Linked DNA regions of Macaca fascicularis. Each later gene encodes a partner of the first gene's protein in a complex. Links are inferred from orthologs where the notes say so. Each region holds a gene or a part of one and is shown in the gene's direction. Other genes may lie near its edges.

Region 1 (3,524 bases):
CTGACTTCCTTGAGAAACTCGTTAGTGTTTATTCAACCACATTTAATTAGAAGAAGCAAATTCTAATAGGATTGCTCACGACCACACAATTGTTCTGTTTCTAAATAGTGAAAAACCAGACAGGTCAAGGAATAACAATATAAACAATCCCCACCCCCCATTTCCTGGTTATCTAGTTTTCTTACATCATTCTCACTGGGACTAGGATTCTCAGCTTCCAACCCTAGAATGAGTTAGTGTCACAGAGGCTTAAGTAATCTCTGTTTTATTAATTAGAGCTTATGTTCATTTCTACATAAGCTTCTTTTGGAAGAAGTTAGGGGTCTTTCCTAGTTAGAAGGAGTATCTCTTCTTAGGAAGGGGTTGTATGATTGACAACTGGCACAAATAAATGAAGCTCTAGCTATCTCTTCTTAGGAAGGGGTTGTATGATTGACAACTGGCACAAATAAATGAAGCTCTAGCTCAGTATGTTCATGTATCAACATTGTAGTATTTAAAATGTCCTCATGCCTCCGATTCCCTTGCTTTGTCCCTCTCACTTCTTTAGCAGATGTCTCAAGAAAACATTGAGGAAGCAGGGTATATCTGTAGGCTCTTATGACCCCTAGTTTTCTTCTGGATCATCTTGCTCTGTGTGCATGTGTATGTGTGTATGTGTGTAATAACTACGCATAGAAGAAGTGCCTTGGAAGGTTTCTGAAGAGAACTCTTAGTGTTTCATTTGGCTTTGTAATTCTGGTGAGTTCTTATCTAACCAGCTCCCTTCTTTTCTTTTTCAGATGAGTTTGATGCCTACATCATTGTGTCTTTCGTGAATGCCACCCTGGTGTTGTCCATTGGAGAGACTGTAGAAGAAGTGACTGACTCTGGGTTCCTGGGGACCACCCCGACCTTGTCCTGCTCCTTATTAGGAGATGATGCCTTGGTGCAGGTGAGGGTTCTAGAGCTTACCTACTTGGCCTGCTTTGTTCTTTCTTGGCCTTCATTGTGATGTGGCTGCTGTGTTCATGTCTCTTCACTCTCACCTTCCAGTAAGCCTTAGGGACGGAGCTTATGATTTTGGCACATAACATCCCCCTCTGTATTTGCCATTTTTCTGTTACAGAGCCACATCACTGCAGCTTTCATCTCTAGTAAAGATCTTTGTAAGTGTTTTGTTAATAAGCTTTGAACTTCTTTGAAGTGGACACCGCAAAACATTAACTATTTAAAAGTTGACCTTGCCTGGGGCCTGCTAACTCTTTTGTCATTGATTCAACTGGTTACTCAAATGCAGTGGCCCTACATCTGATTGTAGTGACAGATCTGATAGATGTGAGGGTCATTCTGAGTGATGAATCAAATTGTTAGAGTCAGGTTTCTTTCTGTTACTGACTCTAGGTCTATCCAGATGGCATTCGGCACATACGAGCAGACAAGAGAGTCAATGAGTGGAAGACCCCTGGAAAGAAAACAATTGTGAAGTGTGCAGTGAACCAGCGACAAGTGGTGATTGCCCTGACGGGAGGAGAGTTGGTCTATTTTGAGATGGATCCCGTATGTTATTTTATCATTCACTGTGGGACTTAGTGCAGGGTCCAGAGGGAAGGATGGGCATTGTAATCTAGTCATTTAGATGACAGTATGGTGAAACCCTGTCTCTACTAACAATACAAAAATTAATGGGCCTGGTGACACACACCTGTAGTCCTAGCTACTTAGGAGGCTAAGGCAGGAGAATTGCTTGAACCTGGGAGGCGGAGGTTGCAGTGAGCTGAGATCATGCCACTGCACTCCAGCCTGGCAACAGAGCGAGACTCCATCTCAAAAAAAAGAGAAAAAAAAGGGAGTTGGAGTGACAGTGTTCACAAACCAATTTGGCCCTTTACAGAGATGGGGAAAAAGGGTAAGTTGATGTCTAATTCTGGGTAGAGTTATGAATTCCCCTGTTAGCAACGAAACACTTGCTCCTCCTGCATTTCACTCCCTACTTTTCCAACAAATATTTGGCATAGAATTGATTTCTGCAGTCTGATTCCATTTCAGAAAACTTCTATATGGAAGAATGTTCAGTACACATAATTACCTTGCTCTCAGGAGGGCTCTAGTGTGGCCAGATTTGTAGCCTGACTGTACCTTTGGTTGAGATGTCTTTGTCTTCAACCATATTTGAATTCCCTTCACCAAAGTATTCTTGTAAACACATAAACAGTTTTATATATCTCCATTTCCTGAGAGCAAAGTTGGCTAAGAAAATTTGTGGCACATTGACCTTGTTCATTCTCTTATTGATGGAAGATACTCATTTTGCTTGCTGTGAGCCTATTAAATTCAGTCTTGAGAACTCAGGTAGAGAAATTCTTGTCATTGATTATAGTAAGAGGAGTGAGAGTATGCAGAAGAAAATACAACAGCCGTCCTTCATTCTCTGGATCCAGGGTTTTGGGGTGAATTGGAGCATATAGACCCACCCCTTTGTAGTTTTGACCTCGCTCTGTCTTTCCTCTTATAGTCAGGACAGCTGAATGAGTACACAGAACGGAAGGAGATGTCAGCAGATGTGGTGTGCATGAGTCTGGCCAATGTACCCCCTGGAGAGCAGCGGTCTCGCTTCCTGGCTGTGGGGCTTGTGGACAACACTGTCAGAATCATCTCCCTGGACCCCTCAGTGAGTGACACTCTGAGCTTCAAGGATCATCTGGTTGGAACCTGAGCATCTGGCCCACTCCTGATGTCCATCTCTGAGATCAACTGGGTTAGACCCCAGAATCCATACCTGCTACTTCTCTTGTCATTGCAGTGTGTTCCAGGAGTTTCCTGCTGTGGTTTAAGGATATGATCTGAGACTACAGAAATGTTTCTTTGGCTTAAACCTCAACTCCCTTTTTTTAGTTAAAAACCGAGACTGCATAAATTTGACTTGCTGCAGGACCCTAGATGACTTTTCGGGAGGTGTGCTTTGCTTAATTACCTTTACCATTATCTTCTTTGACACAAGGAGGAAAGCATGATCTTCCTGAAGCTTATTCTGAGATTGGGTATAACTAATAACCCAATACTCTCTTAGAACTCACTCCCGGGGCTTTTTCTGTGCATAAGGAAGTACTTTTTCAATCCTAGAATTAGATTTCTCTGGGTATGTTTTTGTCCTAAAATTGTCATTTTCTGTGTTTTTATGATTTTTCTCTCCCTCTCAGGACTGTTTGCAACCTCTAAGCATGCAGGCTCTCCCAGCCCAGCCTGAGTCCTTGTGTATTGTGGAAATGGGTGGGACGGAGAAGCAGGATGAGCTGGGTGAGAGGGGCTCGATTGGCTTCCTATACCTGAATATTGGGCTACAGGTAAGAGATCCAGAGGCCTACATTGTGGACATCAGGCCTTCTGTAGGTTTCACACACTCCTTTGTTTGGTAACAGGCGTTTCCTCTGCCCGTGGTTTCAGATCCTTACCTATGAAAAGTAAACAGTGTCACTCTGGGTTCCACTTTTCTCAGCTCTTTGATTTGAACAAATCAGGCTGGGAAAGAAGTATTTTGATCAAGT
Region 2 (2,150 bases), on another chromosome or scaffold:
ACTTCGATCTACTTTCACAGAGTAGGTTTTTTAAAACACAGATGTGCACACACTTGCTCAAAATGACTCTGTTGCTCCCTTTTACCTACAGAGTAAAACTCAAACTCATTACCATAGCATTCACAGCTCTTTATGAGCTGGCCCCTGCCCCTCATTTCTGTAACTGCATTTTGCTCCTGATTACTGAGTTAACTGGCATTTCCTGGAATATATTGTGCTGTTTGACACACCTGTAATCTTTCTGCTTGGGATGCTTTCTTCCCATGATCTTACCCTCCTGAAGCATTCATCCTTTAGAATTAGATCTTGGCTTAGACAGTATGTTCTCTGCTACTTTCTCAAATCCTATCAACAGAGTCATTACTCCACTTGTTATATACTTCAGCATTACTATTACAGTACCTAAATCATGGGAGAAGCGAGCGTAAGGAGTTGATTGAGTAATTGGTTGGTTTGTGCTGTTGGAATAGGGTCAAGGATAGGGAGCACTTTTTACCACTCTTCTTTTTTTGTTTGTTTGTTTGTTTGTTTGGTGATGGGGTCTCACTCTTTCACTCAGGCTGGAGTGCAGTAGTGTAGTTTTGGCTTATTGTAGCCTTGATCCTCCCATCTCAGCCTCCTGAGTACCTGGGACTACAGGCACACACCACCATGCCTGGCTAATTAAAAGTATTTTTTGATAGAGATGGGTTCTCACTGTGTTGCCCAGGCTGGTCTTGAACTCCTGGGCTCAAGTGATCCACTTAGGCCTCCCGAAGTGCTGGGATTATTGGCATGAGCCACTGTGCCCAGCCAGCCTTATTTTCTGTACCCTTTTTTCTGTATAGTTCTCTTTCTGATGTCACTTTCTTTCTAATTTTGTTCTTTTCTCTATTTTCTTTGCCTTCTCTTTGTCTCTTTTCTTCTTGTGTCTGTTTTATTTTCATAGGGATGTCTCAGATGCAGCTGGCACACCATGGCCCTCATGGCTTAGGACATCCCCACGCTGGACCCCCAGGCTCTGGGGGGCAGCCACCACCCCGACCACCACCTGGAATGCCTCATCCTGGACCTCCTCCAATGGGTATGCCCCCCCGAGGGCCTCCATTCGGATCTCCCATGGGTAAGTCGTCTCTAGCCACCTCCCTCATCTGCACCTATCATGTTCTTACAGCTTCCTGTAGGCACATCCCTTGTCCCGTGCCCTTACTAACTTTTCTTTTACTCCTTGCAGGTCACCCAGGTCCTATGCCTCCGCATGGTATGCGTGGACCTCCTCCACTGATGCCCCCGCATGGATACACTGGCCCTCCACGACCCCCACCCTATGGCTACCAGCGGGGGCCTCTCCCTCCACCCAGACCCACTCCCCGGCCACCAGTTCCCCCTCGAGGTCCACTTCGAGGCCCTCTCCCTCAGTAAATTCACATTTTTCCTTCCTCCTGTTACATCTTCCCAATATCTTTTCTATTCCTTGGACCAATCAGAGATGCTGTAGCTCCTTGGGGCTAAGGTACTAATCCCTTTTAGCACCCCCAGCCCATTCCCCTTTTTAATGTAATTTTTTCCACAGGAGGTATTTCTTTTTTATGTTGGTCCTGAGTATTTTGCAAATGCACAGAGAAAATAAAACTAAACTGCTTGTTTATTTGTGGTGTTTTCCTTGACAACAGTAACTTTTTTCTTTAAGAAGAGATGTCAGAGTATCATGAAAAGAATGGTAAGGTAGGAGTAGGAGCAAGGGTGCTCACTCCACATTTTAAAGGCTTGTTCTGTAATGTACTGTTGCAGTTGCTGAGCTCTGCTGTGCACTAGAGTAATTGTTTCCTTACATAGAGCTTATCTTCTAGTTTGGAAGATAGGGGGACCCAATATCTATAGTGTAGGATCATCGTGTTTTTTTCTTTTTTCTTTTTTTTTTTGGAGACATGGTCTTGCTCTGTTGCCTAGGCTGGAGTGCGGTGGCATGATCACAGCTCACTGCACCCCCAACCTCCCAGGCTCAGGTGATTCTCCCACCAAAGCCTCCCAAGTAGCTGGGATCACAGGTGTATGCCATCACACCCAGCTAATTTTTGTATTTTTTGTAGAGGTGAGGTTTTGCCATGTTGCCCAGACTGGTTTTGAACTCCTGGGTTCAAGCGATCCCTCTGCCTCAGCCTCCCAAAGGG
Region 3 (3,524 bases), on another chromosome or scaffold:
AAGAGTCCTGGTCAGACGCAGTGGCTCACACCTGTAATCCCAGCACTTTGGGAGGCGGAGGCAGGCAGATCACCTGAGTTCAGGAGACCGAGACCATCCTGGCCAACATGGTGAAACCCCGTCTCTACTAAAAATACAAAAATTAGCTGGGTGTGGTGGCGTGTGCCTATAATCCCAGCTGCTTGGGAAGCTGAGGCAGGAGAATTGCTTGAACCAGGGAGTCAGAGGTTGCAGTGAACTGAGATCATGGCACCGCACTCCAGTCTGGCAACAGAGTGAGACTCCATCTCAAAAAAATAAAAAACAAAAGTTCCTTACACTAGAAGGCCTAACATCATGGAATCTATGGTGGTGACTTAACATGCCTGTATCTCAGCTCACCAAACCCATGCACTTCCCCTAGATAAAGGAAATGTGGCTTCTTAGAGCACTAGCATTTCTGGTTACTTTGATCCTTTGACTACAGATGAAGAATAAAAGAATGTGGTTGCTTTTTATTTCAGCCCGTGGTCTGGACATTCCTTCAATTAAGACTGTCATTAACTATGATGTGGCACGAGACATTGATACTCACACGCATAGGATTGGCCGCACGGGAAGAGCGGGTGAGAAAGGTGTGGCCTATACCCTGCTCACTCCCAAGGACAGCAATTTTGCTGGTGACCTGGTCCGGAACTTAGAAGGAGCCAATCAACACGTTTCTAAGGAACTCCTAGATCTGGCAATGCAGGTGAGGGACTGGGCACACTTTCAGTTGCTCCTAGTTGTAAGACCAAGACATTTTAGCAGTCCTGGAGCAGACAACATAAAAACTTGACAAGAAAGTTGGGTGGGGGGGAGGATGTGGGGCTTATGAGGTACAGATAGGAATTGTGAGATACTGAAATTCATCTAGTCTTATCTGGTCTTCTCCTTCTTTCAACAACATCTGTTTTGAAAAGCTATTCCTTTGTACTAAAATCTGTCCCTGTAATTTCACCCCATAGCACACTTACGAGTAAATTTAATCTCAAAGATGGTTACTGTTCTTAGTGCTCTTCTCCCATAAAACTTTTCTTCTGGGGGGCTAAAAATGTGTGATGTCTTTGAAACAATATGTGTATAGTATAGTGCCCGCCCCCCCCCCTTTTTTTTTTTTTTTGAGACAGAATCTCGCTCTGTCGCCCAGGCTGGAGTGCAATGGCGCAATCTCAGCTCACTGCAACCTCCGCCTCCCGGGTTCAAGCGATTCTTCTGCCTTAGCCTCCCAAATAGTTGGGATTACAGGCGCCCACCACCATGCCTGGCCAATTTTTGTATTTTTAATAGAGATGGGGTTTTGCCATGTTGGTCAGGCTGGTCTGGAACTCCTGACATCTGGTGATCCTCCCGCCTTGGCCTGGGCCTCCCAAAGTGTTAGGATTACATGTGTGAGCCACCGTGCCCGGCTTATATAGTGCCTCTTAACTATTCCCAGCAGTCTGAGATCTTAGACCTTTGACCACACTGATTGCCATCTTCCAGGTATGCTCCCAGTCTAAAGCTAAGTGAGGCATTCTAACAAATCAAACCTAGAGTCATCTGAATCCATGCTGTCCCCAAATTACAAATGGGTTTGGAACACTTTGAGAGCAGAAACTGTTAAGAGTTTGTCAAATGCCTAGGCCAGCTCACATAACTGGTACAACTCAGCTGCAGTGTGGCAGTGCCCGAGTTTCTGGTCCTAGGAGTAAAGGACCTGAACTGCAAGAGAGAAGAGAATAATGTTTCCTCCCCTGCTCCTGAGCACAGAGAGCCAGTCCTAAATGACCTTTTAAACAGGACAGATTTTGTCTTTGGCATTTTCTTCCATTTCTTTTTGTACCTCAGACTTTCTGTGCTCAGAACTTTGCCCAAGCCTGCTGCCCTACCTCTCAAGCACTTTATTTTGCTGGTAATACTTGATTGTCAGATAAAGCTTTAACCTTCCCAGAGATATCTGCTTTTTTTTTTTTTTTTCCCCGCTTTTTTCTGAGATGGAGTCACACTCTATCACCCAGACTGGAGTGCAGTGGCGCAGTCTCAGCTCACTGAAGCCTCTCCGGTTCAAACAGTTCTCCTGCCTCAGCTTCCCGAGCAGCTGGGATTAGAGGCATGTGCCACCATGCCTGGCTAATTTTTGTATTTTTAGTAGGGACGGGGTTTCACCATGTTGGTCAGGCTGGTCTTTTTTTTTTTTTTTTTGTTTTTTTTTTTTTTTTGAGACGGAGTCTCGTTCTGTCTCCCAGGCTGGAGTGCAGTGGCCGGATCTCAGCTCACTGCAAGCTCCGCCTCCCGGGTTCACGCCATTCTCCGGCCTCAGCCTCCCGAGTAGCTGGGACTACAGGCGCCCGCCACCTCGCCCGGCTAGTTTTTTGTATTTCTTAATAGAGACGGGGTTTCACTGTGTTAGCCAGGATGGTTTCGATCTCCTGACCTCGTGATCCGCCCGTCTCGGCCTCCCAAAGTGCTGGGATTACAGGCTTGAGCCACCGCGCCCGGCCGGTCAGGCTGGTCTTAACTCCTGGCCTCTAGTGATCCGCCCGCCTTGGCTCCCAAAGTGCTGGGATTCACAGGTGTGAGCCACCGCCCTGCATTCCTAAGAGAATATGAGTAAATATGATGAGTAGTATCGTGGCAGTGGTCAAGTTCAATGAAAACTTTTAGGCTTGGTGGGTAAATCTTCAGTTGTGTGGCTACCATCCTTTCTGGGAGTCTGCCCCTATAGTCAGTTCTGATAAGCCTCACTTCACATAGCGTTTTTCCTTTGCTTCTGAACACACCATTTCTTTAAGCTCCACATGTTTATGTCCAATAGTATATGGTTTGAGAAATAAAAAATAATCTCATTTTTCTCAAGGAAGTTAGAAGTAGCCAAAGTGACTCTTTGTGTTTGAAGCTTTTCTGAACAACTTCCCTTCCAGGAGAGCCTGAGGGAGGGAGCACTATAGGAAGCCTTAGATAAGGAACTCAGCCGCTTTTCAAATTTGGTGGATTATGCTACCAAGGAGAAACTAATCTGTGGTTCCTGTGAACAGTTCCTCCCTTAGCATAAATGTGCTGGCTGAAAGTTAAGCAAAGAGTTCCCCCTTCCCACTTAATTTCCTCTTTGTCCTCATCCTCTTCCTCTGGTCTTTTCTCCCTTCCTTGAGTTAACCTTGAATTTTGTTCAATGCAGAATGCCTGGTTTCGGAAATCTCGATTCAAAGGAGGGAAAGGAAAAAAGCTGAACATTGGTGGAGGAGGCCTAGGCTATAGGGAGCGGCCTGGCCTGGGCTCTGAGAACATGGTGAGTCTAGACTACAGTAGTGTCTTTAGGGTTGGTCTCATGTCCTGAATGTCATTAGGAATATTCTCATCTGCCCAGGAAAGCCTCAGTGAGTTTAAAACCCTGTCTAGAAGGGAATTTGTATTTAATCTGATTTGAGTCAATTCTGTGCTCATTCTTATGGTAACTTTCTATTGAAGAAGCATCTTTGTGTACTTGGTTGACTAGGCTTGCTCAGGAAATTATTCTAGATTAGCAG
Region 4 (2,299 bases), on another chromosome or scaffold:
TTCATTTGAATCTTAAGTGGGGCTGGAGGATCTGCTTCCAAGCTCTCTCACATGCCTGTTGTTTGGAAGCCTAAGTTCTTTGCCCCATAGACCTTTCTATAAGACTGCTCACAATAGAGCAACTGGCTTCCCCGGAGCAAGTAACCCAAACAAAGACAGAAGGCATGGTTTTTAAAATAACCTAATTTTGGAAGATATTACTTTTGACATATTCTGTTGGCCACACAGACCAACTCTAGTACAAATTGGGAAGAGACTACACAGAGTAGGAATACCAAGAGGGTGGGGCTCATCCTGAGGCTGTCTTTGAGGATGACTGCTATACTCTCTCGAGAGCCAAGGCTTTATAGAAATGAAGGCTTAACACTTCTAAAAAGAAGTTTACCTAAAAATTTGTGTTTCTTGGTTGAAAATGATAAGATCCTTAAAACCATATTTGACTCAAGTGCTGTTTCTTCCTGTTAGATATTACTGCAATGTCTGTGACTGTGTGGTGAAGGACTCCATCAACTTTCTGGATCACATTAATGGAAAGAAACGTAAGGCTTGGAGGTAGCTTGTGACTAGGGCTGGAATTGGGTTTTGGAGGTGGGGTGGAATGGAAGGGTAGGTTTTTTTTTTTTTCTTCCTCTTCTTTTTACTGATCAAAAGAAGGCTGGAGTAAGAAAGGTAGTTTCTATTGGGCTCTTTTTTGATGCCCCTATTAGAACTCTCCAGTTGTTTCAGCACAGGCCATCTTTTACTTCATTATGTAATATTTCTGGAGGCAATGGGTAAGAGGCCTTATTCTGGAGGCCATGAGACTTTTAACAGCACCCAAACCATGTGCTGCTCCTGGGCCCAGCTGACCAAGGGAGTTTCTTTTAACCGTAATTATTTGTGCTGTGTGTTTTATGAGATGTCATATGAGAAGATGTCAGAGAAGTCAGGAAAATACTTTTTGAGGGGCTGAGGATGTTTTAATGAGCTTGCCTTCTTCACTGTTGACCCCATCCAGATCAGAGAAACCTGGGCATGTCTATGCGTGTGGAACGTTCCACCCTGGATCAGGTGAAGAAACGTTTTGAGGTCAACAAGAAGAAGATGGAAGAGAAACAGAAGGATTATGATTTTGAGGAAAGGATGAAGGAGCTCAGAGAAGAGGTAAGCCTCTCCTAGTCTTCCCCTCTGCCCCAGATTTGAGTTTTATGTTATGAATCATGGGAGACCCTGTCCTCATCCCACTCCTACTCCCAGCCCCAGAGTTGTATCTCCTGAGTTCTGTATATTAGCGGAAACATTTGTTGCCTTTGTTTAGGATTCTCATGATCTGAAGGAAATGGCTCTGAAACGACTTTTTTGTCCTGGACTCTGTGGGCCTTATTATTTATTTATTTTGGCGATACAGATATTTCTCAACTTCTGACAGGGTTACCTACCGATAAACCCATCATCAAGTTAAAAATATCTTAAGTCAAAAATGTGTAATACACCTAACCTACCATAGTTTAGTCTAGCCTACCTTAATGTGCTCAGAACACATTAGCCTACAATTGACCCAGATTATCTAACACAAAACCTATTCTATAATAAAGTATTCATCTCATTAATTTATTGAATACTGTACTGAATGTGAAAAACAATGGTTATATGGATACTTGAAGTACAGTTTCAAATGCATGTCAGTTTTGCACCATTGTAAAACTGAAAAATCTTGTCAGAGCATCGTAAGTTGAGGACTCTCATCTGTATTCTTTGATTTAATTTTTTAAAAAGACTTAACTTTTTTTTTGGCCGGGTGCGGTGGCTCAAGCCTGTAATCCCAGCACTTTGGGAGGCCGAGACGGGTGGATCACGAGGTCAGGAGATCGAGACCATCCTGGCTAACACGGTGAAACCCCGTCTCTACTAAGAAATACAAAAAAAAAAAACTAGCCGGGCGAGGTGGCGGGCGCCTGTGGTCCCAGCTACTCGGGAGGCTGAGGCCGGAGAATGGCGTGAACCCGGGAGGTGGAGCTTGCAGTGAGCTGAGATCTGGCCACTGCACTCTAGCCTGGGCTACAGAGCGAGACTCCGTCTCAAAAAAAAAAAAAAAAAAAAAAAAAAAAAGACTTAACTTTCTTTAGAGCAGTTTGGGTTTGCAACAAAATCGAGAGGGAGGTATAAAGATTTCCCATATACCCACTGTCCCCCACAACATGCATAGCTTCCTCCATACTTTTTTTTTTTAACTACAAGAGGAATTAACTAAATGTACCTAGTCCTAAGGAGGCCCATGAAATCAGGCTGACTGGGTCAGAATTCTGTTTCTTCCACTTAC

What was found. The genes of interacting proteins can lie anywhere in the genome.
Region 2: SF3B3 (region 1) and SF3B4 share a complex: the UniProt entries of both Homo sapiens proteins name them as parts of the SF3B subcomplex of the 17S U2 SnRNP complex. The link is inferred for Macaca fascicularis from reciprocal best matches to the Homo sapiens genes SF3B3 and SF3B4.
Region 3: the proteins of SF3B3 (region 1) and DDX42 are in contact, whole or in part, in a cryo-EM structure (PDB 7EVN), measured with the Homo sapiens proteins. The link is inferred for Macaca fascicularis from reciprocal best matches to the Homo sapiens genes SF3B3 and DDX42. Residues at the interface, in NP_036558.3 of Homo sapiens: Glu159, Ala160, His161, Tyr211, His219, Val220, Val221, Arg222, Lys223; in NP_031398.2 of Homo sapiens: Lys145, Gly146, Ile147, Arg148, Asp149, Asp150.
Region 4: SF3B3 (region 1) and ZMAT2 share a complex: the UniProt entries of both Homo sapiens proteins name them as parts of the spliceosome B complex. The link is inferred for Macaca fascicularis from reciprocal best matches to the Homo sapiens genes SF3B3 and ZMAT2.

What each region holds. Positions count from the first base shown.
Region 1 is NC_088394.1:69,784,851-69,788,374, reverse strand, and holds part of SF3B3 (splicing factor 3B subunit 3), read left to right. Parts: intron 1-782; coding exon 783-934; intron 935-1,383; coding exon 1,384-1,539; intron 1,540-2,494; coding exon 2,495-2,650; intron 2,651-3,179; coding exon 3,180-3,323; intron 3,324-3,524. UniProt on the Homo sapiens protein: Component of the 17S U2 SnRNP complex of the spliceosome, a large ribonucleoprotein complex that removes introns from transcribed pre-mRNAs.
Region 2 is NC_088375.1:111,356,218-111,358,367, forward strand, and holds the end of SF3B4 (splicing factor 3B subunit 4), read left to right. Parts: intron 1-928; coding exon 929-1,102; intron 1,103-1,213; coding exon 1,214-1,401; 3' UTR 1,402-1,627; downstream 1,628-2,150. UniProt on the Homo sapiens protein: Component of the 17S U2 SnRNP complex of the spliceosome, a large ribonucleoprotein complex that removes introns from transcribed pre-mRNAs.
Region 3 is NC_088390.1:70,319,635-70,323,158, forward strand, and holds part of DDX42 (ATP-dependent RNA helicase DDX42), read left to right. Parts: intron 1-503; coding exon 504-730; intron 731-3,175; coding exon 3,176-3,286; intron 3,287-3,524. UniProt on the Homo sapiens protein: ATP-dependent RNA helicase that binds to partially double-stranded RNAs (dsRNAs) in order to unwind RNA secondary structures. Unwinding is promoted in the presence of single-strand binding proteins.
Region 4 is NC_088380.1:147,179,434-147,181,732, forward strand, and holds part of ZMAT2 (zinc finger matrin-type protein 2), read left to right. Parts: intron 1-465; coding exon 466-539; intron 540-997; coding exon 998-1,143; intron 1,144-2,299. UniProt on the Homo sapiens protein: Involved in pre-mRNA splicing as a component of the spliceosome.